Linked DNA regions of Neurospora crassa OR74A. The protein of the gene in region 2 interacts with the protein of the main gene of each other region in a biochemical or structural test. Links are inferred from orthologs where the notes say so. Each region holds a gene or a part of one and is shown on either strand. Other genes may lie near its edges. The genes, in order: mus-25, pcn, polh and mus-41.

The links.
Region 1: the proteins of pcn (region 2) and mus-25 form a complex in vitro, tested with the Saccharomyces cerevisiae proteins (3 studies listed by BioGRID). The link is inferred for Neurospora crassa OR74A from reciprocal best matches to the Saccharomyces cerevisiae genes POL30 and RAD54.
Region 3: the proteins of pcn (region 2) and polh form a complex in vitro, tested with the Saccharomyces cerevisiae proteins (9 studies listed by BioGRID, with this or other methods). The link is inferred for Neurospora crassa OR74A from reciprocal best matches to the Saccharomyces cerevisiae genes POL30 and RAD30.
Region 4: of the proteins of pcn (region 2) and mus-41, one has a biochemical effect on the other in vitro, tested with the Saccharomyces cerevisiae proteins (5 studies listed by BioGRID, with this or other methods). The link is inferred for Neurospora crassa OR74A from reciprocal best matches to the Saccharomyces cerevisiae genes POL30 and RAD5.

What each region holds. Positions count from the first base shown.
Region 1 is NC_026507.1:2,821,900-2,829,977, reverse strand, and holds mus-25 (DNA repair and recombination protein RAD54), read left to right. Parts: upstream 1-3,854; 5' UTR 3,855-4,095; coding exon 4,096-4,097; intron 4,098-4,200; coding exon 4,201-6,706; 3' UTR 6,707-7,157; downstream 7,158-8,078. Other genes in the region: NCU02347 (Sec7 domain-containing protein), read left to right, coding at 1-1,019, 1,078-3,269; NCU02349 (UDP-glucose:glycoprotein glucosyltransferase), read right to left, coding at 7,188-8,078. UniProt on the Saccharomyces cerevisiae protein: Plays an essential role in homologous recombination (HR) which is a major pathway for repairing DNA double-strand breaks (DSBs), single-stranded DNA (ssDNA) gaps, and stalled or collapsed replication forks.
Region 2 is NC_026501.1:9,445,262-9,452,812, reverse strand, and holds pcn (proliferating cell nuclear antigen), read right to left. Parts: upstream 4,419-7,551; 5' UTR 4,183-4,418; intron 4,062-4,182; 5' UTR 4,060-4,061; coding exon 4,018-4,059; intron 3,922-4,017; coding exon 3,202-3,921; intron 3,129-3,201; coding exon 3,111-3,128; 3' UTR 2,756-3,110; downstream 1-2,755. Other genes in the region: NCU10351 (pyridoxine kinase), read right to left, coding at 1-782, 859-1,275, 1,440-1,450, 1,515-1,571; NCU09240 (hypothetical protein), read right to left, coding at 5,120-5,820, 5,882-6,333, 6,388-7,211. UniProt on the Saccharomyces cerevisiae protein: This protein is an auxiliary protein of DNA polymerase delta and is involved in the control of eukaryotic DNA replication by increasing the polymerase's processibility during elongation of the leading strand. Involved in DNA repair.
Region 3 is NC_026501.1:1,954,073-1,962,112, reverse strand, and holds polh (sister chromatid cohesion protein Eso1), read left to right. Parts: upstream 1-3,749; 5' UTR 3,750-3,995; coding exon 3,996-4,222; intron 4,223-4,284; coding exon 4,285-6,076; 3' UTR 6,077-7,428; downstream 7,429-8,040. Other genes in the region: NCU01935 (palmitoyltransferase PFA5), read left to right, coding at 661-775, 936-1,397, 1,458-2,200; NCU16343 (hypothetical protein), read right to left, coding at 2,569-2,907. UniProt on the Saccharomyces cerevisiae protein: DNA polymerase specifically involved in DNA repair. Plays an important role in translesion synthesis, where the normal high fidelity DNA polymerases cannot proceed and DNA synthesis stalls. Plays an important role in the repair of UV-induced pyrimidine dimers.
Region 4 is NC_026503.1:34,060-42,046, forward strand, and holds mus-41 (DNA repair protein rad-5), read left to right. Parts: upstream 1-3,632; 5' UTR 3,633-3,818; coding exon 3,819-5,592; intron 5,593-5,660; coding exon 5,661-7,488; intron 7,489-7,563; coding exon 7,564-7,648; 3' UTR 7,649-7,818; downstream 7,819-7,987. Other genes in the region: NCU09518 (glucooligosaccharide oxidase), read right to left, coding at 1-471; NCU09517 (hypothetical protein), read right to left, coding at 1,783-2,749, 2,836-3,014. UniProt on the Saccharomyces cerevisiae protein: Probable helicase, member of the UBC2/RAD6 epistasis group. Functions with the DNA repair protein RAD18 in error-free postreplication DNA repair.

The DNA.
Region 1 (8,078 bases), on a different chromosome or scaffold from region 2:
CACCCTGATGGCTAGGCCGGAGCCGAGTCCCATGGGTGGCAACTCAAGGCGGGCTATGGATCCGTTCTTGCAGGATAGCCCTATTATTGAATCATTTGCCGACGCCCCTCTATCGTCGATAGAGGCTTCTGACTCGGGCGCGCCATACAGATCTTTGGAGGATTCTCCCGAGATCAGACGGAACAAGGATAGTTATCAAAGAGGATTCTCTCCCGACTACGAACCGAGTCCAAAAGCCGTGATACGCGCCATCGACCCTAACTCTTCTAGCGACTCGGTTGAGGCCAGACAGCCTCGAATAGAAATGCCAGGCAGGCCAGCGCTCGATCGAACCATGACTTCACCCCCGAGATCATTCTTGCGCGATGATAGCGAGAGCGAATACAGTCCCGAATCGAAGACAGTTTCTCGCACCGAGTCCCGTAAACTAAGCCTGAGGCCGGGTCAAACAAAGGAAAAGAAGAGACGATCCTCTTCGCCGACGGTGTCCAAGTCGAAGAGCTACCCTAGCCTTGGCAAGTCAAAGGAGGACTTGAAGGCTCCTGCTCGTCAGAACTCCAAGATGTCCTCCAAAGCGAGCAAGAAACCCAGCTTGCCTAGTTTACGGGTAGATAATACCGAGCCTAATTCGCTGGGCTCGGGCGCAGGTGGCTTGAAGTCTGCCGAATCAATCAAGCCGGCCAGCAAATCAGAACTCGACGAGCCCGAACAATTCGTGGTCGGCGACCCCACCGACGATGACCGGCAGAAGGCGCTCAAAATTTACGAAGGTAATGAGGACTTCATTGCCAGAGACAAGGCGGCCGCATGGATGGGTGAGGAGGGTCCTGTCCGGCAACGCACGCTCCGGGCGTACATGGAAAACTATGAGTTTGAGAACATGAGTGTTTGTGCTAGTTTGCGACAGCTTTGCAACCGCCTCCTTTTGAGGGCGGAAACCCAGCAGGTTGATCGGATTCTGGTCGCTTTCTCCAACCGATGGTGTGAATGCAATCCCAACCATGGGTTCAAATCAATGGGTAAGTCCTGCTTGAAATGCAGTTGAAGTGTTTCTTGCGCTGACAATCTACGTTACAGACATCATTCACACCATTTGCTACTCCATCATGCTCCTCAATACGGACTTGCATATGGCTGATATTGAACACAAGATGACCAAGAGCCAGTTCATCAAGAACACCATGACCACGATCCGACAGGCACTCGAGGATTCGAATCCAGAAGCATTTGAACGTCCCAGTATTCTACCTGGCAAAGGTGCCAGTCTTGGCGTTGAGGGCAACCGTCGCAACTCTAGTGAAGACAACAAACACAGTTTCAGACATTCTTTCAAGCCGCCAGCACGGCCGACGTCCGGCTTTGGTACAATAACAGATTCGTCTACCGCTGACAGTTGCGGACCTCTCGTAAGAGCGCCCTTTGATGGGCCCTTGAAGGGATGGGAATCGCAGGTCGAAGCAGTCCTCAAAGACATCTACTCATCCATCCGCGACGAAAGCCTACCGTTATTTGGCGGTGCCACCAATACGACGGGTCTCTCAACAACCGCCCAAGGCAGCTTATCGGTTATGGGTGTGCTCAAGCGGAGCCCTAGTGTACTGAGTAAAGCGCCATCGGAGGGTATGGCTTCCACTCGGGGTAGGATTCCCGAAGGGCCCAAGGCGAATTCATCCAGATGGAACTCAAAGAGTCGGTCGAGGCCAAGAGGCTTTGGAACTAGCTTTAATTCGAGCCGGACTAGCTTTGACGACGGGAACTCACTTTGGAGCCCCACCGAATCCTCGGCGACCTGGAGCAAAGCGTCGCTGGGTAGGACCCACACGACCATGTCCATGGACTCTTTTGGTTCCTCCTTCCGTGGCGACTATCAACAATCGATTGGGTTTGCAAATGCGCTTAGTCAGGCCATCATACGCGAAGACAACACACTTGATCTCGCGATCAGCAAGACGGAGGATTTCAACGCCGGGGAGCTGCTGGAAGACGAGTCCCTGGAATTAGCCGGTCCTCCATGGGTCAAGGAGGGTATTGTTACGCACAAACACCACATGGAAACCGTCGACAAACGGTCCAAGGAACGTACATGGAACGAGGTTTTTGCAGTCATCCAAAAGGGACAGCTAAGCTTGTTCTCCTTCTCTCCAAACAAATCAACGAGCAGGAAAAGGGGAATGCGCAGTAACGCACCAAAGGGAGGAGTTGTTGGTGGTGGCAACTGGCAAGACAATGCGGTAAAAGTGGGCACGTTTTCGCTGCGCCAGACACTGGCGACGATTATGCCGCCACCAGGCTATTCGCGAGCCCGTCCGCACGTCTGGTGTTTGTCGTTACCTAATGGGGCGCTCCATTTGTTCCAGGTCGGAACGGCCGAGATTTGCAGGGAATTTGTGACTACAGCCAACTATTGGAGCGCGCGGTCAAGCACCCATCCCATGATAGGCGGTGTCTCCAATATCGAATACGGCTGGAGTGATGCGGTCATCAACTCGACCCGGGTGTCTGGCATCCAAAGTAATGGCGACCTGAACAACACAGGTGGCGGCGGCGGCGGCGGCGGTGGAACTACCGGGCGTCCTGCTAGCAACAGCGTCAGCAGCAACTACAAGGGCCATTCACGCCCTGGCAGCGCAGCAAACGCGGCATCGGCAATGGCAGCGATGGCGGTTTCCAGCACGATCTCTGGCAGCCGTGCCTCGCTCCATAGTCGACGCAGTGTTAGAAGCTCTTCTTTCGACTTTGGTCGGCCGGGAAGCTCGGCCAGCAGCGGCGCCCTCGGTGTCACATTCAGCGGCCCCGGCGCACTCCCCCGTCCCAACCACGCATCATCGTCCTCGAAGCTACCAGGCGATAAGATTCACATTGCCGAGTGGACACCGCCCTCGCAGTCCCTCCGGCCCAGCACCCTTTCGGAGCGTGAACAGTTTGGGCATCTCATCGCCTACGTCAGGAGTCTTGAAGAAGATTTCCAAAAGCATAATTCGCTCAGGAGTCCTATGCTTCTGGCATTCTCGCCTCGATCAGTGAACGCGGCCAAGGCGATGACCAACTGGGAGAAGAAGAGCCAGCATCTCCTCAACGAGATTGTGAAGTACAGGACGTATGTAGACAGCCTGCGCGAGGCAGATATCAGGAGGTCGGAGATTTACCGTGAAAGGGAGAACGCGAGACGCGCGGCAAGGGGTGAGGATGTGGTTGACAGTGATGGAGAAGGCGAACCTTCACCTGGTGAGGTCATGGATGCGTCGCTGGAAAGGGAGGTCAAGGGCTAAGGGACAACATAATGGATGGATGATATGGTATGTCGTGAAGAGCTTGGGAAAGAAAGAGAAAGAGGGGCCAAAGGCGTTCAAGGTAGATTTTGGCGAAGATGACAAGCGTGACTTTATGGGGACGGGGATCTTTTATCGCTAAACACCACAAACACACACACACACACACTTCCTTTACGTTATACCATGGCATAGAGCAAGCGAGCATGCATGCACGACAAATTCTGTCTATCGTTACTTTCTGGGGTGCTTACGACTTGAGAATACATATTTAATACCTTCCTGGCACTTGTCGGTCTGGACCATAGGTCTCACTGAGGAGCATTTGCGAATGCCCTCAACATAGAACGACGACGACGGCATTGTTAGGTGTGACAAACAGTGACCAATCAGACGAAACTGTGGATGATGCAAAAGTGGAGACGAACAATCAAGGGTTAGGATTGGCCACACACTGTGCATAGTACTGCGTAGTCACCTACGTAACTACTTAACAGGGAAAGCTAGCCAAGATCATGTGATACCGTGTGAGGAAGGCGCGATTCGCCCCCCACCCTTCCGATCTTCGCGTCCAGTCTGTGTTTAGTCAACATTGTTAAGGTAAGCAGGCGCCAATCGCCATCTTCCTGCCTGGAGCCCGCTTCTCAGTCTTTTTGCGGTGGTTTTTTTTTTCTTCCCCCCTCATTTGCCTTCCGGATTTTTCGGTTGTTGTTCTTTTGAGTGACGGGCGTGAAATAAAAAAACTCCCAAATAGAGAAACAGGTCTAGCGTTGTTCCTAGGGAGCTACCGAGGCCGTTGTAACAAAGCCCGTTCCTTACAGCGAAGATGTAAGCAGACACCGTAACCTCCCCATGTATTCCTATTACCATTGATCACCAACATCACCACTCTCAACATCCGGCTACTAAGTAACACTCTGGATCTCGATAGGTCAGCATCCATGGTCTCAACACCCAAGGCCGCCTCCAAGGACAACAGCACCAACAGTCTCGCTCTCACTCAACGCAGCAAGTTCCCCACACCTCAATCCCTCGACAAACTCACCAAGCCGTTCAAATGCCCCGGCTCCGCGACGCGCACCGTAGCCGTCGACCGGCCGGCACGAAAGCGCAGAAAGATCGATTATAAAGGTGCTGGTGGCGAAGACGACGAGGATGGCGCCGACAAGCCCTACACCAACGCCGACCGGCTCGCCCTCGCCAACCGCGACGCCAACAAGTTCCCCGTGTTCGCGGTCAAAGACAAGTCGCAGGTATTCCGCAAGGCGTTCTCCGTGCCGCTCATCAACAAGAACACGACCGCGTACAACCCAAACCGCCCCCCACCCACGCTCGGCCTGAGACAGGGCGCCGTCTTTGTGGCTAAGCCGCTGCATGACCCGTGCGACGAGTTTGCTATTGTGCTGTATGATCCGACAGTGGATGATAAGCCCAAGGATACGGCGCCAGAGGCCATTGAAGAAAAGAAGGAAGAACCAGAGGTCAAGGTTGATGCGCCGCTGGTGCACAAGAGTCTGGCGGAGATTCTGGGCATCAAGAAGAAAGTCGAGGGTGAGCACCCTCGTGTCCCAGTGGTCATTGATCCCAGGCTGGCCAAGGTGCTGCGGCCGCATCAGATCGAGGGTGTCCGGTTCATGTACCGGTGCGTGACGGGCATGATTGATGAGAAGGCGAATGGTTGCATCATGGCAGACGAGATGGGCTTGGGAAAGACGTTGCAGTGCATCACGCTACTGTGGACGCTGTTGAAGCAGTCGCCGGATGCTGGAAAGTCAACGATCCAAAAGGCGATTGTGGCGTGTCCATCAAGTTTGGTCAGGAATTGGGCGAATGAGTTGGTCAAATGGTTGGGCGCGGACGCTATCACGCCCTTTGCCATTGATGGAAAGGCCTCGAAGGAGGAGTTGACGAGGCAGCTGCGGCAGTGGGCGATTGCCAGTGGACGGTCCGTGACGAGACCGGTGATTATTGTCTCGTACGAGACGCTAAGGCTTAATGTGGACGAGCTTAAGGGGACTCCCATTGGGTTGATGCTTTGCGACGAGGGCCACCGCCTGAAGAACGGAGACAGTCAGACGTTCAGTGCCTTGAACAGCCTGAATGTTTCGAGGAGGGTCATCTTGTCGGGTACACCCATTCAGAACGACCTGTCAGAGTACTTTGCTCTGATCAGCTTCGCCAACCCGGATCTCCTCGGTACTCGTCTCGAGTTCCGCAAACGCTTCGAGATTCCGATTCTACGCGGCCGCGATGCTGACGCCTCGGAAGCTGAGCGGAAGCGTGGTGACGAGTGCCTGGTTGAACTCCTTGCCATCGTCAACAAGTTCATCATTCGTCGTACCAACGACATTCTTTCCAAGTACCTCCCCGTGAAGTACGAGCACGTTGTCTTCTGCAACCTCGCTCCCTTCCAGCTTGACTTGTATAACTACTTTGTCGCCTCCCCCGACATCCAAGCTCTCCTGCGCGGCAAGGGCTCTCAACCTCTCAAGGCCATCAACATCCTCAAGAAGCTCTGCAACCACCCAGACCTGCTCGACCTATCGGCCGATCTGCCTGGCTGTGAGCAGTACTGGCCAGAAGACTACGTACCAAAGGAAGCGCGTGGCCGTGACCGCGACGTCAAGCCATGGTACTCCGGAAAGATGCAAGTGCTCGACCGCATGCTCGCCCGCATCCGCGCCGACACCAATGACAAGATTGTGCTCATCAGCAACTACACCCAAACGCTTGACCTCTTTGAGCGTCTCTGCCGCAACCGGCAATACGGTTGTCTCCGACTAGACGGTACCATGAACGTCAACAAACGCCAAAAACTTGTCGACAAGTTCAACGACCCGGAAGGCGACGAGTTTGTCTTTTTGCTCTCTTCCAAAGCCGGTGGGTGCGGCCTCAACCTGATTGGTGCCAACCGGCTCGTCCTCTTCGACCCGGACTGGAATCCAGCAGCGGATCAGCAGGCGCTGGCGCGTGTGTGGCGTGATGGCCAGAAGAAGGACTGTTTTGTCTATCGCTTCATCGCCACGGGTACCATTGAAGAAAAGATCTTCCAGCGGCAGAGCCACAAGCAATCCCTGTCGTCGTGCGTCGTCGACAGCGCCGAGGATGTGGAGAGACACTTTTCTCTGGACTCGCTGCGCGAGCTGTTCACTTATAGACCCGGGACCAAGAGCGATACCCATGACACGTTCAAGTGTAAGCGGTGTAAACCGGATGGGAGGCAGTATATGAAGGCGCAGGCCATGTTGTATGGCGATACTAGTACTTGGAATCACTTTGTTAACCATTGGGAGGGCGAGGACGCGGCGGGTAAGAGTGGAAAGGGCGGCGACCCGAATGGTGGTAGTGGAGGGATGAAGAGCATTCATGATCATTTGTTGAGGCAGGAGGTTGGGGAGAGGGATGTTAGTGCTGTGTTTCAGTATATTTCTCATTGAGTGGGTGGTTTGTCCTTTCTTCTTCTTTTTTCTTTCTCTCTCTTTTCGAGGAGGGTGGGGATGCTGGGTAAGAGGGTGCGTGCAATCAACGCAGCCTGATGGAGTTTTGGGTGTCGTCGGATGGTGAGATTCAGCTGAGAAACAAGTATCATGTAGCGTACGGTGTTTTGGTGTTTCGGGTCTGTTATGTTATGGGACGATTTACAAATACACATATCGCTAGACATCGTAACAATCATCACACTACGTAAACTATCAGTAGCATTCATCCTTCGATCAGCTGCTGGGGTTAGTGAAGACTCCAGTGGCGGTTTACTGTCTATATAGCGCAGTATTTGATGTTCATGACCTTCAGCTGGTTGTAAGAAGGACCTGAGAAGTAGGTTATATATCATCTATCAAATGTACTTACTATAGGCGCACGCTACATTAACAGGACTAACTAACACCCACCCATGCCATGACACCTCGCTTTGCAGATCTACAACTCATCAATGACATGCTCCTTCTCCTCATGTTTCTCCTCCACAATCACTTGCTCCTCAACCTTCTTCCCCTCCAAAACTTCCCCAGCCTTCTTTTCTTCCTGCTCCCTGACCCTCTTAGCCAACGCCGCAACCTCCTCGTCATAAACCGTCCACTCAGGCACCTGCCTCCTCGCCCTCTCCAACTTGGGCTCCTTCGTCATTGGATTATTACACAAATCAATCGTCCTCGCCTTCGTCAGCGTCTCATCAGAACACCACGTCTCGCACCACAACCACTCCTGCGGCAGACTCTTGATCGGGATCTGGAACTGCATATGATTCGGCAGATCCTGGTCCAGATTCGCCAGACTATTCGGGTCCGCGCTCAGCGTATGATACTGCTGCCTCAACCGATCGCCAGCGGCCAGCTCCCTGAAGCGGCGCAGATCAACCACGTACAGCGCCGAGATGTGGTACGGCTGGCCCCGCAGGTAGTTGGCCCAGTAACCCGTCTTCCAGAAGCGGAAGCCTTCCATTTCGGTTCGCGAGTCGCACATGGGCGTGAACCCGTAGGGCGCCCCCTCCAGGTCGAGGCTGACGAGGTCGTACATGTCCGTACGGACGACCTGGTCCGCGTCCACGAAAATGACCTTGTCCAAGCTCAAGGGGAAGAGGACGTCCAAAAACAAAATCTTGTAGCCCCAGATTTCGCGCTGCTTTTCCGATTGGTGCCGTAGCCAGTGCGGCCATTTGTAGGCGACCATCTCGTATTTGAACCCGTATTCGGCGGCCAGGTGGGGGAGGAAGGATTTGAATGAGGGGGAGAGAAACTGCTCGATGAACCAGAATTTTACCGAGTGGTCTGTGTGCTCCATGACGGAAAGGATCATGATGGAGAGCATGCG
Region 2 (7,551 bases):
CTTGTTTTCTCCTCCTTCGTTCTTCTTCTTCTTTTATCCTCTCTTCCGTCTTTTCCTCATCTTCGCCACCATCGCTATTACCATTCGTCGTCGTCGTCGTCGTCGTCGTCTGTGTTGAATCCAGCCTAGGTTTCTTATCCACATGCCCATCCTGATCTGTCGTCCCATTGCCATTCGCATGTCCACACCCATTAACCCCATCCGTCATCGCCTTCTCTCGTTGAAGCTGTTCATCCACAAACCCCTTAGCCCTCTGCACCCTCCCCTTCATCCCCTCCGCCGTCTTCGTCAACACCTCATGCATACTCGCCAACACCTTCTCCGCCGCCTTGGCAAGCGGCAAGTCCAGCGCGTCCACTGAGTCATCTGACAACCACGATTCCCGTTCTGTCAAGTCTCCTTCAGTGTTATACACCGCTTCTCGCATGCGCACAAGCATCAAAGCGGAAAACATATCGCCCGTTCCGGAGAAGTAGCAGTCGATGGCGGGGAAGCTAATCTGAAACGCGCGCGGTTGGCGGGCAGAAGTCATTGTTGAGCCCACTACGCTGAGGGTCTTGGTGCGGGGCGGTTGCGATTGGCCTTGGCCTTCTTCTTGGGGTGTTGGTGTGGGCGCCGAAGAGCCGGGTACGGAGTTGGGCATGGTGGAGGAGACGGTAGTAGCAGCGTCGGGAAGGGAGACGGAAGTGATGATGATGTGCGGGATGGCGTAGCGCTCGTGCAGGACGGAGATGGCGCGGGTTAAGGAGGGCATGTCGACTATTTTGACTTCTGATAGGAGTCTGTTATCTGTTAGATTAATAACCCAACAACAAGAAGAGAGGGAAGGGGAAAGGGGAAGAAAAGAAAGGTACGCACTCGGCCTCGAATTGGTTCGGGAGTATCAGGTCTGCGTACTGCACCAGCCCTTTATATACCGGCACCACATCCTGCGCGACGTACAGACTGCCGTTATCGCCCATCACGGGGTCCAGCACCCAAAAGAAAGATCCAGGCTTCCCGCGCGCTTGAGCCTTTTCCTTAAGTTCTTTCGCTATCTCCCCCACGGCTTCCAGCGCTGGAGCACCGGGGACGTATCCGGACAGCATCATATCAAAGTCATCGAGGTAGGACTGTTTGAGACCGCGGTAGAGGTCGGTGATTTCGGAAGCGGACACGCGCGTGCCGGTGAATTGGCGGTAGCCCGTATGGTTGCTGAACTGCACCGTGTTGAGGGCGGCGACGTCGCAGCCAAGGGATTGCATGGAGAAGACGGCGATTTTGTTGCCTACGTAGCTGAGGGAAGACACATTGATGTTAGCCAATGCCTTTCTCTTCTTCTTCTTTTTATTCTTTTCCCTTTCGTCTCGTCTCGTCTCGTCTTGTCTGGTTGGGGCTCGGCTGTTCTAGTCGTCATCGGGGGAGGCCGGCGCAAAGCTTGTAGGTAAATCGGAACTTACCCAGAGACAACCTGAACACTCCCAGTCAGCAATTGATTTAACCTGGTATTAATTGAAAAGGAGAAGTAGACTTACATGGCTGGCGACCGCCAACACGCGGGTGTCGGGGACTGGAGGCTCTCCGTCGCTCATGGTGACCTTGGTAGAGTACTTTGTATGCGATTCGGCTTTTGGTTGTTGTAGAGGAAAGATCGAGCTCGAGACTTGTTGTAGAGACCTCCTTCGTTCGAATTGGTTATGTTCGGTAGATGTCCTACGACGTAGAGTGGCGGCGCAAAGGATCTCGATCGTTGGTAGAGAGAGGTACGTAAGCCGAGTAAGCCGAGCTGGCGATTCAACGAACGGTCTGTCAATTCGGTGATATAAATCGTCTCTGTAAAAAATAGTCGGCCGCTTGAAATCTCGACGATATGTTGAGAACTGGTGCCAAAGTTAAACGATGTAGAGAATGTTTGTTGTTGTCAAAAGGAACTAGGTCTGTCTCGAACTCGCAGAAGAAGTCCGAGGAAGGACTGCCAGTGGATGATCACCGGGTCAAGAAAAGATGGAGGAAAGATTCCGGAAAAAGAACTAAGCAAGCAACACTGTGACACACCAAGTGAGTCTGACTCTAGACCTAGTCAGTCAGTCAGCGGTGAAAGAAGAAGACCGTATATAGCCGAAAGATTCGATCAATTGGAAATAGTATCATCAATCAAATAAACTGCGATATCGCCCTCTCGTGCCACCCATTTGCCCACATCTTGATTCGAGTCCTCGAATGGTCCAGAAATTCGCCGCTAACGGTCATGGCACAGGGCCGGCCAGTCAATGACTCTTTTTTTTTTCCCCAGGAACCACCCATGCCCCGCCAAAAAGTTTCCTGCAGGGCGGGTTAGGGGCAACTTGAATGCGGAGTCCATTCAGCTGCTGGGCGCGCCCCGGGCCCTGGGCTGTTGTAGGCGGGAGGGGACGTCACGCAGGTGGTGGGTAGGTAAGTTACATACATTGAATGAACAATGTGGGGAAGCTGGTGAACACCAGGAACTTCATCGGATGAAAAAAAAAAAAAAAAAAAAAAAAAAAAAAAAAAAAAAAAAAAAAAAAAAAAAAAACAGTCGGGTGGAAGATTTCTGGAAAACACGCCGACTGACGGGAAGTGGTGATGTCAGTACTGGTGTACTTGTGATTGAACCCACTTCTGAGATACCTACTTTCAACGCCAAGCTGAACTCCCGAGAAGCGATGATTACCATAGTGATACAGGGAGGACAGTTTGCCGATATCAATGTTAGAAACCATCAGACAAAAAAAAAAAAAAAAAAAAAAAAAAAAAAGGAAACGACAACAGCATCGGGTTCCTTGGTGAAGGTGTGTTGTTGGAGGCCATCGCAATAATCATTGACACCTCGTCGTCTCCCCTAAACATTCATCTTCGCAGCAGAAAGAACAAAACGCCCTCTAAAACATTTGTGTGTAGTGTACTAGTGCCAGACTCTTTCAAAAACACAGATTTCTTTTTCTTCATATCCCTTTTCTTCTTCTCATCACTGCATCACCCCTTATCTTCTACATGACTTGCAATTCTCCTCCTCCCCATGATTTTATAGCAACTCGAGGTATACATGAAGGCATAGTTTCGTGGTGTTCGTAACAAAGATGTGGTTCGGTTGTTGGAGGTAAATGGGGCGTTTACTCCTCGTCGCCAATCTGTGAATCAGAACCAGTTAGCATCACGCCTGACAGAAAACAACCACCCAGAAAATGACAAACAAAGACATACCTTGGGCGCAAGATAGAACCTCAAGTAGCTGCTAGCCGAAATGTTGTACTCGACCAAAAGGGGCACCTCGTTGGAGAGGCAGATCTTGACCGTGCTCGACAGCGCGCTCGCCTTGCAAAAGTTGACCAGGTACTTGAGCGAGAACGTGAGGGAAACCGGCTCGCTCAACTCAATCTCGATATTCTCGCTGGGCTTATCAACGTTGGTGTGCTGGCGGAGGGTAATGCTGCCGTTGCCAATGTCGCCCTGGCAGCTAAACTTGACGCCGTCCTTGCTCGCCTCAATGTTGACGCTCTCGCTCATGGCCATGAGGTCGGTGGTGATGCGCTTAAACTCAGAAGACGGCATGCTGATGGTGGCCGCGTACTCGGTATCCGGAATGCCCAGGTGCTCCTGGTCAATGTCCATGAGCTTGAGGTCGTACTCGGAGATACGGTCGTTTTCGGAAGATTCGAAGACGAGGTTGAGCACGTCGGGCGCGTCCTCGGCCTTGAGCGTCAGGATGTCCTCGTTCTGGGCGGCGCGGAGCACCTTGGTCAGCGACGTCAGGTTGACGCCGAGCGCAATGTTGCGGTCGCACCGGAAGGGCGAGAAGGTCTCCGTCTTGAGCATCATGGACACGAGCGCGACGTGCGAGTTGTCCATGGCTTGCAGGGCGATGCCCGAGTCGTTGCAGTCGAAGTTGCAGTCCTGCACGAGGTCCTTGATGGCGTCGACGACCTGGACATCATCGTCATCATCATGACAGAGTTAGTGGGGGTCTTCTAGCTGGGAAAGGAAACAGACAGCACTTGACAGGAAGAGGACATGACATACCTTCTTCAGGATCGACGCCTGCTCCAACCGTGCTTCAAGCATTTCTGTTGTTGTGGTAGTCCTCCAGTCAGCAACCCATCACTCCAGTTCTCCAGCTTTTCTTCCTAGTGCCGGGCCAGCGAGCAAGCGAGCAGGCAGCTTCACGCTCAGACAGAGACGACATACTGATGGATGTGAATTACCGAACTCGACGGGGGAAAAAAAGACAAAGAGGGAAGAAAATATGCGCGCGCTGGGTATCACTTTCGGGAGAGAGAGGCGCTCGTGGTTTGACGAAGAAAGAAGAGAGAAGAAAAGATTTGGATTTGGGAAGAGTTATGGTTTTGTTCAAAAAGCTGCAACAGGCAGGCAATGGACGATAAAAAGAGAGGAACCACCAATACCACAGGTGGTGCCGGGACACCCACTTCGCGACTTGACGCGCCTGCTAATGGCAGCTAAACGCGCTGAGCCGGGGTTAGGCTTAATTGATTTACCGCTTCAGGCTAGCTCCCGGTGCACGGTCCCGTTCTCCAGCGCTGTTAGTCCGCTTTCAGGCGCAATCTTCGCGTTTTCAGTGGGAGCTGTCGCCCTGAATCCCCTCTTTCTGTTTGGATCGTGTCTCGACGGCAATGTCGAACCAAAGGTATGCTGCTCACTTCAAGTTCCGATGATATGACTTCAACTATTCGACTCCCTCATTTCTGCGCGAACTCTGTTCTACCTCCATTCTCCAATATATTTTGATTATTACATTATTTCACCTATCTTACACCCTCCCCCAACTCAAAAAAGAATTTGTTACAGAATGCCCGCCCAAGATCGTCTGTATAAACTGTGTAAACGCCGTTAAATTCTGTGTCCCACATTGCTCGCTTGCCTGCCCCAGCTTTCAAATGTTCCCATGGTCTGTATGTCCGTCAAAACGCCATTCTACCCAAAGTTGTTGTTGTTGTTGCTGTTGTTGCTTTTCAAGAAAACTGGCAAGCTGACCTTCTCGTCGTTGTTGTTCGCCCCTCTCTTTTGTCTGCGCGCAATGCCTTGATGCCATGTAAGATTATAGTGGTCAAAGAAAAGAAACCCGAAAGAAAGACAGCGCGAATGCCGCAGAGTTTGTCTGTCGTCATAAAGAAATCCTCGTCGGCGCCGCACTCCTGCCGTTTCCCCCGCCTGGTCCCATGGTTGTATGTCTCTTCGGCCTCAGATTAATCACCATCTCCAACTCCTTCAACATGCCCCTACTCGCTTCCGCCTTCTCTCTCTGCATTGCCCTCATCTCTCTCTCCTCTTTCATTTTCACCAATCTCTCTTCCCTGGTCAGCATACTCCTGGGCCGAGCCGATAGCGCAACCGCCTCAAACACATCCGGCTCGTTGGGACTTGGCGAGGAGTTTCGTGTGGGAGACGTCTCCCCGGTGAGCGCTTTCAGCGCATCCTCCGCTCCGCCGCCGGTTTCGTTCTCTTCGCCGACAGTGGTCAACCCGCTTAGAGAGGTAGCAGGCGAGTACAGCATGCTCATAGACGAAATACGTTTCTCGTTGCGGTCGATTCCCGATGCTAGGGCAGCCTTGCCATCCTCCCAGGCTTGCTGCAGCATCTTGAGGTCTTGGCCAATGGACTCGTATTGCGACAGGAGGTCGAAACCAACTTCAGAGATGTCGTCGGCTTCGTTGAGTGCTTTCTCGGATTCTTCACGCAATAGTGCCAGCTTGGCTTGGAGACCGCGGATGCCCGTCGATAGAGAGTCGAGCTTGCGGAATTGCGTTCGGCGTTTCTCGCGGTTGGGCGAAAGAGGGAACTTGGTTTCGGGGATAGCGGGGAAGCCTGAGTGGTTTTGTTAGCTGTTGTGTGTTTGTAGTGTGCAAGAATACGGGATGAAACTCACTCTCTTCATCGCTCAAGATGAGACGAAGCCTCTCGTAGCAATCACCTGTCAGACTGCTCAGCTGGCTGAGACACTGAGCCGCCGTCGACCACCGCACAAAGTCGCTGTTATCTCCCGTAGCCTCAAACGCAAGCAAAGCGCAGAGAAGCAGCTTGCGGATGGTATGGAACCGAGCAGCGGCAATTTTGAGCACCCGTAACGACTCCGCCTCCTCCGTCGCGACCTCCGGAAACCCTTGCATCGCATCGGAAACGTCAAAGTCGGTAATGTCGTAAACGTCGTAGTACTTTTCCAGATCCAACTGTTCCGAGAGTCCCTTCACCGCTGTCGTCACTTGGATGTAACTCTTGATCATATCGGCAAACCGCTGCTTGAGAGCCTTGCGCAGGCGTCCGCATCGTCTCGTTTGGCTTCGGTCTTCGATTCTGCTGATAGGCGGTAGTGGTGCGCTCCTGGTTATTGTTAGCCGCAGTTAACCCCAATATCCTCCGGAAGACCATACTCACAGCCTATACCCCCTCGACACCAACTCAACCTCCTGAACAAGCGACAGCGCCGCACTCGTAGCACTATCCCAATCCTGACTCTTCGCCACAAAAGTAGCAACCTCTGCCAGCGCCTTGTTCCGCACATATCTCAGCCACTGCTTCCGGATATAAAAGTGCGCCACCAATCCCACCGCAACGGCAACCACGACGGCAACCAGCACCCCCTTTTTGGTCAGACGAGCATATCCTCCCAAACACAACCACCTTATCCCCAACGCCACCACCAACGCTCCCGCAGCCGTCGCAACCAGCCCCGTCGAGTTCGGTAGTACGACATCGTTATTTTGCTCTTTCGAACTATCGGCATCCTGATTTCGGTAAAAGTGATTAAGTCCAGCAACCGAGTGCCCACTCAACAACTGCGAAGCGACGATCGTATATCGGAACTGCTCGATGAATTTCTGGTTGTCGGCGCGGTCTATCCTCGCTGTTACGGCTTTCTTTTCACCACGAACAAACGTCATTAGTTCAACACACATGGCCCCTATGATTTGAGCGTAAAAGATCCTTACAGAATAGGAGTCATGTAGCGAGCCGAGCGAGCTGTATCGCTTCATGCGGTGTGGGATCTCGAGTTGTATTGGCTCAGGGGCGTTCTTTCGGAACCGCTTGCGGACCATGGGGCGGCCTACGGGAGCGAAGTTGGGAGAAGAGGGGGGTGAGATGCTGTGTTCGGAGAGGCGGTCATCGTGGGCATCGTGGAACTGGCCATTGTGGTCGGACTCGGAGGCTGGCGGTGTTGGCCAGTCATTGTTGCGTGTTTCTTCGCCTTGATCTGTCATGGCAAGTAAGTGATGCTGTGCTTTAGAGATGGACAGTGAGTAGGTAAGCGAACCCTTGAGATAATTGGCAAGAGGCTCGCAATCCTGAATTACGGTCTCCATGGATGCCACTACGACCGGACAACGACTCGGACAATGATGGGACTCGGACAAGAGAACGGAAGAGGAGCATCCAACAAAGAAACGGGAGGTCGATATGTGGTGCTAGCTCTCCATCTGACGCCAGGCGGCACTCTGAACAAGGAAGAAAGAAAGAAAGAGGAGTGTGCTTGTCCCCTTGTTTCGACGGAGTACAGATACCAGGCCGGCGGCACCACGCAGTTTCCTTGTTTCAAGTCCT
Region 3 (8,040 bases), about 7.5 Mb from region 2:
TACTGCCCGTACCTTACGCTAACTTACCATTTCCGGTTTGGGCCCCAGTGCCCTCAACTTGCGGCCAACGGTGTGGGTCCCCGGCTCTTGCGCAGGCACTGGACGCGCCCCTACGGGGCTGATCTCCCCGCTGCGGCCAGGGGCCAGGGCAGGTTTCCAAACCGGTTCCAACAGCCCAGATGTGCGTTGAAAGACTGGATGATCCAATGTCTTGCATTGTCGAACCGAAGCAAACCTCCGATCTAAATTATGGCATTTCATCTTTGAGCGCATCCTTGGACGCCGGCGCAAGAACTGTCCAGACCAACGGCAGCGACCAACATACGGCGTCGCAACTAAACGCTGCGGTCCCCTCCGAACGACGGCGATTCTCATATGAGCAGGCGGTATTCCACTTGCCTCCTGAAATCTCGCCCTCCGTCCGCTTTTTGTCATCCCGCCGCGCCAACTCCTCCTGCCGACCGACCATTGCGATTGACACCTTTCATCCCACAACATCGACAGCCTGATGCACTAGCCTGCGTACAAGCGAATAAACGCCCCAACCCGTACCTCGTTCGTCCGAAGCGCCACCGACGACCCTGATCGCTGACTTTCGACGCGTATATCCCATTGCGCTACGACAACACCACATTCCATGCCTTGAGGGTTGGGGACGAAATGAGTTCCGTTCGAGCGCGCCGGTCCGAGACGAGATGGGTGACGCGATTTATGCCTGTTTTCCTAGCTGTGTGTTTCGGTCTGACAACATACACCACGGCCAAGAGAGTCTGCGGTATGTCCCTGGTTGTTTTCCCCAATCTCCAACTTCCACTTCAATAACTGCTCTCTGTCCCCGGGTGATGTCACCCAGCATGTTCCCTCCCCGACAGATGTGGAGCTCCTGCAAGTCCGTCTGACGCGGAGCTTTTCCACTGACCGGAACCCTCTTACAGTGGATCACTTCCTCCATAGGCGTCAAGAACCCAGCGCTGCGATCGCATTCCTCGTCTTCTACCTCGTCACTTTCACGTTCATGCTCTTGACCTATATACGACTATTCCTGGTTATTCAACTAAATCCCGGCGTTGTTCCCCTCGGGCAGCGAGCGATATGGCGGTTGGAAAAAGAAGAAAAAGAGAAACCAAGTTGGCGACGGCACAAGCATAAACAGACCGGCGATATAGAGGCCAACGCCTACAGTAATGTCGGACCAGACGATGACCCTGATAGCCCTGGGCTCGAGTCCTTTTACAGCAAAGACGTTTTTATCTGCGAATCAGACGGAAAGCCGCGATGGTGTCACAGTTGTTGCACCTGGAAGCCAGACAGGGCGCATCACTGCAGTGAAATCGATCGATGCGTCAAGAAGATGGATCACTATTGCCCGTGGGTTGGGGGAATCGTGGGTGAGACGTGTAAGTGGAAAGAAATAATCGATACATCTGATGGCGGACTCGGCTAATCCTGGTGCGCAGCGTTTAAGTACTTCATCCAGTTCACGTTTTACGCATCGCTTTGCTCCATAGTAGTTATCACTGCTTGCGCTGTTTGCACGAGGCAACGACTTCATACCGGTCACGGCCTTGATGGTTTTGTGGTCGCCATATTGGCTTTATCCGGCCTTCTGGGATTTTTTGCCGTAACCATGTTCATCACATCCGCGCGATATGCGCTGCAGAACATGACAAATATCGACTACCTCAAGTCCAAAAACTTCGTGCATAACCTGGCCATTCGGGTCCCGAGAGGCATCCAATCCTGTGAAAAGTACAAGGTCGTCACATATCCGATATCGAAATCCGGAGACTTGGGCACTCCGTTACCTGGAGACGTCGGTGCAAGAGGCGTGGCCAATATGAGGGATATGCTCGCAACGCGCACCTTTGCTGTCGTGAAAACCGAGCTGGGCGAGAACCCGTGGGATCTAGGCTTCTATCGAAACTGGAAATCCGTCATGGGCAACAGCATCATTGACTGGCTACTGCCCCTCAAGGACTCACCTTGCGCAACGTACGAGAACAACGAGAGCTTTTACGAAATGGGCCCCATATATCTGCGAGTGCGAGAAAGGTTTAGGCTTCCGCACCTAACCGACGACGAGAAGGGGTTTACCACATCGAAGAAGGAGTTGTCGTCGAAATCACAGGCCAAAGAGAGGAAACAAAAGAAGCAGGAGCAGGAATCACAGGACCGGGCCCATGGGTCGGCGAACTTGTGATCAACTTCAACTTATTAATCTAGATACCCCCTTCCATTTGTCTATGTCCTCTGTTTACCATACTATTTTGGTTTCTAGACTTTTGCCGGCGCTCAGCGAAGGGCCCGGCGGTCATGTTTCTTTTACTCTTGATTAGATACTTTAATGCTGGCTTACGGTCGGCACTCATGTATGGTGTCGAACTGCTATTTCTCCGGGTATGAGCAGGTAGTGTTTCGAGGCTCTTTCTTCCTTTCACCAACGAAGTCAGGTACTATTTCTATACAACTTCCCAGCATGTTCCCCTTTGTGGTAACCTCTTCAGTGACTTTACCCTCTCCATCCACACGAAACTTTTTTTTCGAGCCGGCCGAGCACAGTCCTTGTTACTACCCATATCCTGAAAAAGTGGAAGTTCGATAGCGTTGAACGTAAAGGTCAGAAGCATGGCGCTTGTTGCAATTGCAATCATGCAGTGCCGCTGCTTGATTCCTACCTAACCGACTCCAATATGGTAAGCCCTGCGTACTTGATCTCAATAGCGTGACGCAACTCCAGTGGAACTCTGAGAGACCAACATGGACTGACAGGATGTGGACGGAACCGAAGGAAATCCGAGTGCAATCTGAAGGACGAGTGATAACCGATGATAACAGAAAATGATGCATCGTGCGAACTGGTAGTATCGTAGGGTTCATTGCATCGTATAACCCCCACGTGTGGAACATATGGTAACTCAGTATGTATGCAGGTGGTGAGTTGTCATTTGGGTTCAAGTTCCCGATTCTCAGGTTGCGTAGAGAGTATCGGAGGAGACCATTTGGCTGTAGTATCTCGTTCGTTCTTTCTCCAGGGCAGGACTAAAGTCGCTCGTCGAACGTGTGATGGACCATGCGCATTTGCTTGTAGACGATTGTATGTTCAAAGCACATACTTCTAGCCGCGACTTCGGCACAATATAACTGGTTGAGAACCCTGTCGTCGTGATGCCGTGAGGTGGTGTTGATATGTGATGGTAGCCCAGGACTTCGAGTTTTCCAAGACTAGAGCAGTCGGCAAGGTGCCTAGGTATCCCCGCGCGCAAGTCCCTACACTACATTAGATATCTCGAACGCAACATCGATAGCATCCGTTCATGTAACCCCCCTTCCCCCCTGCCCCCGCCCGCGCCTTACTAGGCGATGTAGGCATTGGCGTGTTTGGGCAGAATACGGGCTGTATTGTGGACCGTTCGTTCTGCCACATCAACTTCAGGTCAGGTGTACATGTCTAGCGTATCTCGCATATGCGGGAAGGGGCCCTTTTGGACTGAAGGGTTAGGCTAAAACGCGGGATGACTTCGCGGCTCTGCATTTCAGTTCGATGATGATTTACCGCCTCCAGAGGTACATAGCTATGTAACTGGAGTTGGCACAGCAGAGTCGTGACCTGCAGGGTGGGACTCCCGCACGTGGGGATCTCATCACTGATAGGCGCGGATGTATCTATCGAGTTACCCGCTGTGGGGGACCTCCCGGCTCGAACTTCCTCCGATCCTGTCAGCTTCCAAACAGTTTCCACAGGGCAGTCTGGACACTGGACTACGCGGCAGTTCCCACCTTACCTTAGCGCGCTTTTGCTCCGTTCGACGTGACTTCGGCACTCTCACAACCACCCGTCGCGACGCCGTCTTCATGCGCCTCCGTCACCGATGAACGTCTCTCGGCCATCCGCGATCACCACGACTCTGATTGCCGTAGCCGGCCCGTCTTCATAGCCCGCCCGACCGAATGAAAATGACGACACCCTTGGCTTTAGATTCCGCCCATACGCTGCCATGTCGTCACCGCCCCATATGCAGTCCTTTCGCGACTTGTCTCCCGCGGGCGCTCCCGGCATGAAGCGTTCACGGTTCACGTATCGTCACATCCAGCAACTCGCTGCCTCGAGTACTTCGTGTCCGCTCAGGGTCATTGCTCACCTGGATCTCGATTGCTTCTACGCTCAGGTAGAAATGGTGCGACTAGGGATACCAGACGACAAGCCCGTTGCCGTTCAGCAATGGTAAACCCAGTCTCCAAATGTGCCTATTGGGCATTCTCTGACGTCAAACTGACCTTGTATAGGCAGGGATTGATTGCAGTCAACTATCCTGCTCGTAGCTTTGGCATCGGCCGGCATTGCAACGTGTCGGAAGCAAAAAAGCTCTGCCCGGATCTTATACATCAACACGTTGCAACATGGAGAGAAGGCGATGCCAAGTGGGATTACCACCCGGATGCCGCGGCCAACATGGCGACGCACAAAGTGTCCTTAGACCCTTACCGACTTGAATCCCGTAAGATTCTGGCTATCATCAAAGAAGAACTCCCACCTCATCTTCAAAAGGTGGAGAAAGCGAGCATCGATGAGGTGTTTATGGACCTCTCGGCACAAGTGCACACTATCCTGCTCGAACGTTTTCCCGAGCTTGCCAACCCTCCCCCATACGATGACCCGACCGAGATGCTACCCATGCCATCCATCACCGCTCTCGACTGGCAGGCTGATGCGCTGGTAGACCTGCCAGACGAAAACGCTGAACTTGAGGATCCGGACTGGGACGACGTGGCTATTCTTATAGGCTCAGAAATTGTGCGCAAGGTGCGGATAGCCATCAAAGATAAGCTTGGATACACGTGCTCCGCAGGTGTAGCCTGTAATAAGCTGTTGAGCAAGTTGGGCTCGGCTTACCGAAAGCCCAACCAACAGACGGTGCTTCGGAATCGTTCAATTCAGCATTTTCTGTCCGACTTCAAGTTCACAAAGATGCGGAACCTTGGCGGCAAGCTGGGCGAACAAATCAGTCAGATGTTTCACACAGACACGGTCAAAGACTTGCTCAGCGCTTCGGTGGAGCAGCTAAAATCGAAGCTAGGCGATGACACAGGCGTCTGGGTCTACAACACCGTGCGTGGGATCGATACCAGCGAGGTAAACCCGCGCGTCCAAATCAAGTCGATGCTGTCGGCCAAGTCCTTTCGTCCTAGTATAACCTCCTTCGAGCAGGCTGTCAGATGGCTGCGCATTTTTGCCGCTGACATTTTTTCCCGGTTGGTCGAAGAAGGTGTTTTGGAAAATAAGCGGAGGCCTAAGACCATCAATCTCCATCACCGTCACGGCACTCAAACCCGGTCACGTCAGGGTCCTATCCCTCAAGGCCGTAAGCTCGACGAAGAGAGTTTGCTAGAGCTGGCCAGGAACTTGTTAAGCCAGATTGTTTCCGAGGGTCAGGTTTGGCCATGTTCCAACCTCAGCCTTAGCGTTGGAGGATTTGAGGATGGTGTCACTGGAAACATGGGCATTGGCGCTTTCTTGTTGAAGGGCGAGGAGGCTCAGGCAAGCAAGACGGGGTCAGGGACAGCGACGGTTGACTCTGAAACCGAGATCCGCCCGGCAGAGAAGCGAAGGCGCCTGGATAACGGCGGGATAGAACGATTTTTCGCAAAGAGAGAGTTATCCCACGGTGCTAATCCTGGGTTGGGCTCCGACGATACGGCCATCAGTGGTCAAAGCGGTCAAAGGTTGGGCACCCTGAAAGAGGAGGTCATGTCAGGTGAGCCGGCCGGTTCAGAGGGGGTGGGCAAAGGCGATGAGGTATATAACGGGAAGTCTGAATCAGAACCCGGCCCAATCATCACATTGACGTGCTCGCGATGCAACGCCAGCCTCGATAGCCCCGAGGAACTGCAAAGCCATCAGGACTGGCATTTTGCCAAAGAGCTCCAAGAACAAGAACGTGTCAGCCAGACATTCGTCAATCAGCCATCAGCGTCTAGCTCGCGTGCCGGCAATCAAAAATCCACAAGCACGATGCCGAAGCGACAAGGTAGACCTAAGAAGGTCGAGCGCGGGCAAAGCAAACTCAAGTTCGGTTGAACAGGCTATCGCGATTTTCATGACACGATGCCCTGAAAACGGCAAAGTGACATGAGCGCACAGGTGGAGAATTCAATGCATGAATCCACAACACGACGCTTGATATCAAAAGGTGCCTCTGACCAAGCTATTCAAGATTGCACATGCAGTCTTTGTGGAGGACGGTTTGCTCTTCAGATTCGCTGCAGGTGTTCGTCTTCAGCTGCGCGACGGGATTGACTACGGCATCTCACCAAAGTCTGCGTTCTGGCGGTGACCGAGAATCCAGGGACAAACCAATCAATGCTTGGACAGATCCACGATGCCCTTCTGGCATTTAATGGGTGGTAACGGGTCGGCAGTCTCACTTCCGAAAATCTCGTGAAGCACATTTTGCTACATGGCAGCCGAATCTATGGGGAGGCTATCAAGCTCCTATACTTGTTGGAACGCCCTCTGGAAGATAAAACTTCAATCTGCGCGCAATGAGTTGAGCTCGTGAGAGTTGCTGCTCGATTTCCTCACAGGTCACTGAGAGACTCGTAAGTTTAAGGGACTTCCACGAAAGCATCGGGAGACTGTTATGGCAAACATGGACCATGACGGAAGCAAGAAAGCTCCAGACAAACGGACAAAAAGTGTCGTCAATGTCTGTGTCTGATTTGGCGTCCAGATACTCGTCATGATCGGGGCCCTGTATGACAAACTGGCGGAGACGGCATGTGCCCCTTTGGTTGGTACACCAGAATAAAAATACGACGCAGGAGCATGTTCTGCACTAGGGTTACTTGCCGATGTGGGAAGAAAGGATCAATTCGGCCATGATCACTAGGGGCAGTGAGCGTGCTCAGAGCCAAACGGCCGCCTTGTTGTCGAGCTTACACCCTCACCAACCGAAGCATCGGACAAAGCTGATTGGCTGCGAGGAGACCCCATCTCATGCGGCAGCTTGCGGCGTTGCAGAAAGGTTGGGCTTCCAGACTTCCAGACGCATTGATACCCGATTGTTGCCAGAACCCGCCCGTTCCCAGATCCATTGCTTCCCCATTGCGTCTCCATCACGAAGCCCACTAGAAAGTATCTTCACACAGCCTTTCGCTAGCCCAATTTGTCTTAAATGCATTTCAACCCGCGTGGAAGAAGCTACGGCATGGGCATATAGGTCATAATTCCACACACGACGTCGGCGACCCATTGGTATGTGGAAACCATGTCGGATGCTCGAAATGATTTCTTGAATTCTTGTCCTCACACATGTCACGGCGACGAAGCGACTCTTTCATCCATGTGCCACCTTCAGCCTGTCAGCCAGCACTGTCTGGCGTCTGGCCCCGACCCTTCAGCTTTCGATATGTAATCACATTGGTTGTCCATCTCTTCCCAACCATCACCATAGGCTTGCCGCCTAAATATTGAGTGCTATATGACAGTGACTCTGCGAAGACCGCCTTGATTCTACGCAAGACATCCAGACCCGTCGGTAGACGACCTCATGGCACCACACAGTAGTAGACATTTGAGGTCGTTTTGTTCCTTATGTATAAATCCGAAATGTCTTCTATTGACATCAACTTTTGTGGTATGATTTTCTCAACGAATGGCTTTATTGATTCCGTCTGAAGTCAGGCCTTCATTGTCCCCACATTCAGTTTATCTTTGCGCACCCGGTCGAGCTCATGTTTTGCGCCCTTGACGCCCAAACGGGTCACCGAATACCCACTACCAAAACAGCGGCCTTCCTTGCGTTCACCTTGACGCTGGAAAATCTTTTACAGTATGTATGGCGTTGGCAGCGCTCTGTGTCCATTTCTTTCTTGACTGGTACGAGTTACCACCGAGGGTTGACGCCTGCGGTTGATTAATTGGCACCCACACCTCCGCGTGCGATTGTGGCGTTTCCACAACAACCCACACAGCCAATAGAATCCTCAGAATGGAAGTCAAAAAACAACGCCAGCCTCATCACCAGGTTTGACTTCTGACTG
Region 4 (7,987 bases), on a different chromosome or scaffold from region 2:
AGTCCCATGCGAGAAAGCTCTTTTGCCCTGTTTATACAGCTCCGTCGCCACATGCCCCAGTCTCGCTCCCGATTGAACATCTGCGATATTCGTCGTCTTATCCAGCGTCACCTTCGACATGCGATCCAACTCCACGACCAGATGCCCGTTCTCTCCGCCCAGACCAAACGAAGCATAACTGTGCCCTCCTGACTTGGGGGTAACTTTAATTCCCAGCTTGGTGGCACAGGAGACGGCACCTTGGATGTGTTCAATGGTGGTAGGGACCGCGATGGCTACTGGCGTGTAGGGCAGGCGCTGGTTGAAAGGGTTGACGTCGGTACGCCACTCGGAGGAGCCTTGAGCATCGGCTGGAACGCCGGCAGATTTGAGGCAGTCGTCGATGGCGGCACGCTTGTTGAGTGGAGAGCTTAGGGGGTTGGCGAGGATGGGGGCCGCCGTGGCAGTGAGGAGGATGAGTGGAAGCCACATGATGGACGAGGTATTGGATCGGAGTAAAAACCTATTTAGTGGGATGGGACGACCAAGTCTGAAGCCTGGCGATGTACGGAAGGCAGCTCAGTAGGGATGATATAGCTTGGTGAGTGCTTCATCTTGTCGAACCGGTCATAAGATACTGGCCTATCGGAGCTGTTTCTGTTCTTTCCCCTTTTGGCACACAAGAGATGTTAAAAAATGGGATGAACATTAGGCCCTTCCAGCTTCCCACGGCTGGACATAATGAATTGCGGGGGTTATAACGCAAGAACACGGCATCAAGCTCCCCGGGGGGTTAGTCACTGAGCCGTCTCGGCGGTCTTTGACCGTGAGGTATTTGATACGGAGAGTTATGTGACTGTAGGGATCCCGTCGAGCCGTTGCGGATTAGAGATTCGGAGGGAGGCAGTGTGTGGAAGTTCGCCAGTGATTGGTCCGGCTAACATATCAGCCTACAGATTGCTTCCTTCACATATGCCAAGATTGATGAACATGTTCAGCAGTCATTCCAAGCTCTTGGCAACTTGGGCTGAATGACGTTGAAACAAAAGTTTGTACGGAATATGGACAAAGGACACGCGTCGGCACCTGTCAATGCGACCCTGCAACCTTGTCGAGGATTCTTGACGAGACCGAGGCGAGGGCGACTAGAACTACTAGCGAAATGCCAGCCCTGTAGTGGAAATCCTTCGGCGGAAGAGCAAGCCGCAGGGCCACTCACTATCTTGAAAACCGATTGCGAACGACGGTCTTTATTCTTGGTGATAGGCCAGAAGTTGGTGGGTGAGCTTGGGGGTGATTGGGCCTGAACGAAGATGGTTTGGGTGTTCGCAGAGGTACAATTATAGGCTAAAATGTAGCCGTTACCCATGTTCCCACTACTCAGGCCCGGCGAGAACACGCCACACGGAACGCTCTTACAAAGTGGTTGCTCTGCCCCAGATTGCAAGCAATATCGGTCTTGGTGATGGATGTTGTGCTTTCAACTACCACCATCTGCAAAGGGGTCATGTGCCTCTCTGTCGTACGATGGTCCTACCGAGACCATGTCAACACTTTGCCTCGAGGACGCTTCGTGCTGTTTCAAAGGGACAAGAAGACCTGGGCCGATGCTGTCGACGATTGCAGACTTTTGCCTATTCATGATAATCGGGCTAAGCGATAGTCACGGAGTGTACGCTCGCGGTCTCGATCGAGATCGATCCTGTGTCGTCACAGACGGTCAGCACCAAGAGTACGATACGTGATGGAAAGAAGAATCTCGATTGTGGCTCGTTGGCCTCGTATACGGCACAAACAGAGGACTCAAATGTGCTGTGTCTTTAGAGCACGCCACAACCTCCAGGGAAGCTTCCAGCTCGCCTTGACTTTGAACGGGTCGAAATCAGCCTTCTCCAACCTTTCCAAGTAATCGGCAGCCGGGACTGCTTCCAACAGCACCCCAAACCCCCTCTTGATATCAGCTTGTGTTGCGTCGACCCCACCGCTGGAGTAGATATGCTCTTGTTCTCCCTCATGCTCATAATCATGGCCCACCTCTTCCCCGGCCTTCAAGTTCTTCAACATCTCCCTCGCCGTTATCAAATGGTCATTGGCCCTTGTAGCCACCTTGAACACGGAATCCTGCAGTCCCTCAGCGTTGGGTCCGTGGCGAAAGACATCTTCTTCTCTGACCCCCACCTCGGCCATCACATCGAGGGGTAGTAGCAGGGCGGGATGCCGGGTGTTGCCCACGCTCCCAGCCGGACCCTGGATGGGCTGCGATGGAGCGGCGAGAACGGGAATGCCGCGTAGTGTGGCTACGATGCCGCACGCCTTGCCGATGTGACTAGCCAGGTGGTCCATATGTACTGATCGCAAAGGCATGGAAGCCAAGGTCACATACATCAGCGTCGCGTACGTATTCTCGGCGTAGTCTTCCAGCGAGTTCAAGCTGACAAAGGGCCTGTTTTCCATGTGTTGCTCGCGCGTGTTGATCAAGCGTAGGAGCCAGAACTTGAGAGAGCTGGCGCTGTTGGGGCCGGCGCGGGCTTTGAGGTCTTGGATGGCTTGGTGGAGGAGGATGGAGATGGGCTCGCGTGGGGGATTGCCGGCAAAGACGCTGTTCACGGTTTCACGCCAAAAGGACATGCGCATGCGTGCGATGGTCGGGTTGGAAACTGTCTCGGGGAGACGGGCAAGTTCGAGGTTCAGGGTACGGAGGGCGTTGTAGGCGTCCCGAGAGGAAGGAGGGACGAATTGTCGGAGGAGAAAAGCTTCGTAGTCACCATGTCTGGGGTGGGGGGAGAAAGAGTTAGCAGAGAAAGAAGGGCAAGTGGGAAGAATGGCTAGGTATGGGGAGGGAAAGCAGAGACAGACTTGAGCTGGTTCTCACAGTACTGACGGGCCTTTTCGACGTCGCCGTCTGTGACTGTCGCGAGGCCTCGTCCGGAGAGGGAAGGCTGCCACGAAGGCCTCTGAGGCTGGAGACGTAGACGGGGCCGTAGAGGTGCCCGCCCCAGGCCATGACAACAACCTGCCGCTCGAGGGGATATCATGATCAAAGAAGCGGTACTGTTTTCCCCGCTGTCACAAAGTGGTTCACATCTCTCACTGTAACAAGAGACAAGACAACCTCGGCAGCAGCGGGGAGGAAGACAAGCCGACGACGACAGGACATGTTGATTTGACAATTCGCTGAGACCATGTTACGCTGCGCCCCTCAGCATCACAAGCGCGGCGCCTCTAAAGCCTTTATGGTTAGCAGCGATGACGGCATTAAATGGCTTCAGTGGCCCAAGCTTCTGGCTTTCCATACAATCCAGTACTGGTTTGCTTGTTAGTTCGAGACCTCGCATCAACTTTCCGATGCGTTTTCATAGCTAATCAATGCGTGATCTTACCATGGATACACCATTTGTAATATTCTGAATGCCATATCAAATAGTACTAATATCTTTTAACCTTTATACCAACTATTTCGATCTCTTCTTAGAGGGTTTAGGACTAATTGGGATAGATTAGGTTTCGTCTAGTGTATAGAGTATGGTACAGTACCTAGTGTACCCAGCTAACAAACAACCCAGCACTGGACTGTACACTGCAGAGGGCGTAATTAATTACCTCTAGGGTGGCGCGCAATCACCTGACAGCGGGAAGGCGGAAACGAATGCACGCCAAAGTTTCACGGTTGCCACGGCACAGTCGCGTCTCACAGGCGCAACACTGAAGTTCACCATTGCAGTTGGTGCATTCGAGTCGGTTGGGTGACAGTAGCTGACTGATACCGTACACCCGTGGTACGACTACCTAGAGGTACTGTACCTACCTTGAACCTAATGGGCTGAACAACCAACACCTGGATGGACCGACACGACACCATGGACTTCACCAACGAGCCTCTCTCCAAGAAGCGCCGGTTCCTGGGCGACCAGGGTGATTCGGACCATGTCGCTGGCGGCCCCAGCTCGTCTCCCCAGTTCAGTGCTCCCCCGAGCTCACCACCCAGGAAGAAACTCCTCCAAGACCCAAACAGTGAAGTCCAGCCACGAGTTTCCAAAGATGCGGACCACAATGACGACGACGACGACGACGACGACGACGACGACGAAGAACGCCCAAGATTCTTCACAGACGATGGCACCCTAACGCCCCACGCCACGAAGATATGTGCTCCCTGGCTCAACGACATGCCCAAACCAGACCCTAGAAAAGGATATCTCTTGAAAGACGTCGATACTCCGATCGCGACACCCCGGGACGTGGCACCCCCAGTGGTCGAGTCCCCCCAGCTGGCCTTCGACAAAGACACATTCGAAGCTTTTGTTGGCGAAAAGGTTGCGTCCGATATCCTCCACGTCATCAGCAAGAACTGCGGCAACAACATCGAAAGAGCCGTCAACATGTACCTGGATGGAACATGGAAAAAGCTGCACCGGGCGCCTCCAGTCAGAGTCAACTCGCATTCGCCCCTGGTTGTAGGAGGTCAGTCTCCCAAGAAATCATCAACATCACAAGCACGGTCCCGGTCGCACGCTCAAGCCCAACCACAGCCGCAATCGAACACACCAACAAAGGTTCTCCCATCAATGCCAGACGCCCGCTACGTCGGCGCATTTGGTGTTGAGGGATGGGCTACCAGAAGCGGGACAGGCCTCCTCAGACACGGTGACAGCGTCAAGATTGAGCGCCAAAAGATCCAACCACCTACCGTTGCAAGAAAAGGGCAGACCAAGCCTGGCACCCCGCAGTCCATACCACGAGTCAGCGCGGCAGCTGCCAAACGTGTCGATGTCATAGTCCGCTTCAACGACGCCAGTGGCAGGGAACTCGGCCGTCTAGCCAAAGACACAGCCAACTGGGTGTCAACGCTAATAGACCAGAACATCTGCAGATTCGAAGGCATCTGTGTTTACGCGCCCGAGCGTCTACGAACGAACGAGACCGTCTTCTTGCAGCTCAAGTGCTACATGCTACGGTCTGCCTTCTTGGGGAGAACCCTCCAACTAGCCGACAATAGGGCTGCCGGGTTCCACGAGAAAGACGAGACAACAGAAGAGAAGGACCTGCGACTGAGACAAGTGGCGCTTGTCAGACTGTTTCAAGAGATCAACATTGTTCCGTCTCGAGGCAACGCCGCTGCCGCCAAGGACGCCAGGAAAGACCTTCTTGAAGCAGCAGATTCGGCCGAGAAGAAGGCGATGGACAAGGCCAAGGCTGGGGACCACAACACTAACGGATTAGCTTCTCCCCCCGAAGAGGCCGAAGAGGGCCAGGAGCTCGAACAAGACCAACTCGACGCGCTGTACAAGAAGGCCCAATCCTTCGACTTTAGCACCCCCGAGGCTGAACCAGCTAATACCTTCGCCATGACCTTGCGTCCCTACCAGAAGCAGTCGCTGTACTGGATGCTGGCCAAGGAGAAGAACCAGCGAACAGAAGACCGTGAAACATCCATGCATCCCCTATGGGAAGAGTACGTGTGGCCGACCAAGGACCATGACGATAAGGACCTACCTGTGGTTCCTGACCAACCTTGCTTCTACGTCAACCCATACTCTGGCGATCTGTCACTGGACTTCCCCAAACAAGAGCAGCATTGTCTTGGTGGAATCTTGGCAGACGAGATGGGACTTGGTGGGTTTGCCTTTTACATTTTTCTTTTCTCTTTGACCTGATATCCAGCTCACAGTCATGTATCACAGGCAAAACCATCCAGATGCTTTCCCTGATCCATTCTCACCGATCCGAAGTAGCCATCAAGGCGCGGGAGGCTGGCCCTACCTCGGTCAACAACCTCCCACGCCTACCAACAGTCTCTGGACAGAAGACGACAATTGACGCTCCGTGCACAACCCTTGTGGTTGCCCCCATGTCCTTGCTGGCGCAATGGCAAAGCGAAGCTGAGAATGCTTCCAAGGAGGGCACGTTCAAGACCATGATGTACTACGGGGCGGAAAAGAATGTCGATCTGGTGACCATGTGCTGCGAAGCCAACGCGGCCAACGCTCCAGATGTGATCATCACCAGCTATGGAGTCGTCCTCTCCGAGTTTACCCAACTCGCCACCAAGAATGGAGACAGACTCAGCAGCCGCGGGCTTTTCTCCCTCAACTTCTTCCGTGTCATTCTGGACGAAGCACATAATATCAAGAACCGCCAAGCTAAGACCTCCCGCGCATGCTACGAAATTGCCGCCGAACACCGCTGGGTCCTCACCGGAACCCCCATTGTCAATCGCCTCGAAGACCTCTTCAGCCTGGTCCGTTTCCTACGCGTTGAGCCATGGAACAATTTTTCCTTCTGGCGGACCTTCATCACCGTCCCCTTTGAGTCCAAGAACTTTGTCCGCGCCTTAGACGTCGTCCAAACCGTCCTCGAACCGCTCGTCATGCGCCGCACCAAAGACATGAAGACCCCGGATGGCCAGTTCCTTGTTCCGCTTCCGCCCAAACACATCGAGATCGTCGACATCGAACTCTCCGAGCCTGAAAGGGCAGTCTACGACTACGTCTTCAACCGCGCCAAGCGAACGCTCTTTGACAATATGCAGGCCGGCACCGTCATGAAGGCGTTTACCTCCATTTTTGCACAGATCTTGCGGCTCCGGCAGTCCTGCTGTCACCCTGTGCTTGTTCGCAACCAGGAGATCCTCGCTGATGAGGAGGAAGCCAATATGGCCGCTGACGTTGCGGCGGGTTTGGCAGACGATATGGATCTCCAAACTCTGATCGAGCGCTTCACCGCCACCACAGACGACGCCTCCAAAACCAACAACAACTTCGGCGCTCACGTTCTTAGACAGATCCGTGACGAAGCAGTCAACGAATGCCCCATCTGCGCCGAAGAACCAATGATCGACCAGGCCGTGACAGGATGCTGGCATTCTGCGTGCAAGAAATGTCTGCTCGACTATATCAAACATCAAACCGACCGTAACGAGGTCCCGCGGTGTTTCCAATGTCGCGAGCACATCAACATCCGCGACATCTTCGAAGTCATCCGCCACGATGATGACCTGGAGACATCCTCTACCCCAGGGGCAAGTCCCGAGCCGCGCATCTCCCTACAACGCGTGGGCGCCAATGACTCCAGCGCCAAAATCGTCGCTCTAATCTCACACCTCCGCACCTTGCGTCAAGAGCACCCCAAAATGAAGTCCCTCGTAATTTCCCAATTCACATCCTTTCTCTCGCTGATATCCTCCGCCCTCACACGTCACAAGATCTCTTTTCTTCGGCTGGATGGGTCCATGTCCCAGAAGGCCCGCGCCGCTGTTCTTACCGAGTTTCAATCCACCAACAAGTTTTGCGTTTTGCTTCTCAGTCTCAAAGCGGGTGGTGTCGGGTTGAACCTGACCAGTGCCAAGAGGGTCTACATGATGGACCCGTGGTGGTCCTTTGCGGTGGAGGCGCAGGCGATTGATCGTGTGCATCGCATGGGGCAAGAGGATGAGGTGAGGGTTTATCGATTTATAGTGAAACAGAGTGTGGAAATGAGGATGTTGCGGGTGCAGGAGAGGAAAAAGTTTATGTGAGTTTGTCCCCGATCAGTGATTTAATGACATTGACTGGAGGTAGGTAAAAGGCTAACCTGATTTGACTGCAGAGCAACATCACTGGGGATGATGTCAGACGAGGAAAAGAAGATGCAGAGGATCGAGGATATCAAGGAGCTGTTGAGCTCAGACTAAGCGTATCGATATGTATGCCGGATGTCAGGGGAAACTGCAATCCAATCCATTTTCGTTGTTAGGCGTCCCGAGGTCCTTTTCTTGCATGCAGCGGCGTCGGTATACTTACCTATCTCGTACATAGGGCCATCTCAGGTCTTCATAGAGCAATAGAATCGCGCATACCAGAGCCCCAATTCTAACGTTGGCACCAAGCAGGTCAAGCGACCCGGAGGTGTAGGTGACTCTACGACTACGGGGAAAGCGTGGAAACTTCTGAGTTTTGGAAATCTGGATGGTCGGGTCGTTATGATTGTCGCCATCAAAGTTGACAAACCAAGGTGCCTTGTTCCTGACATT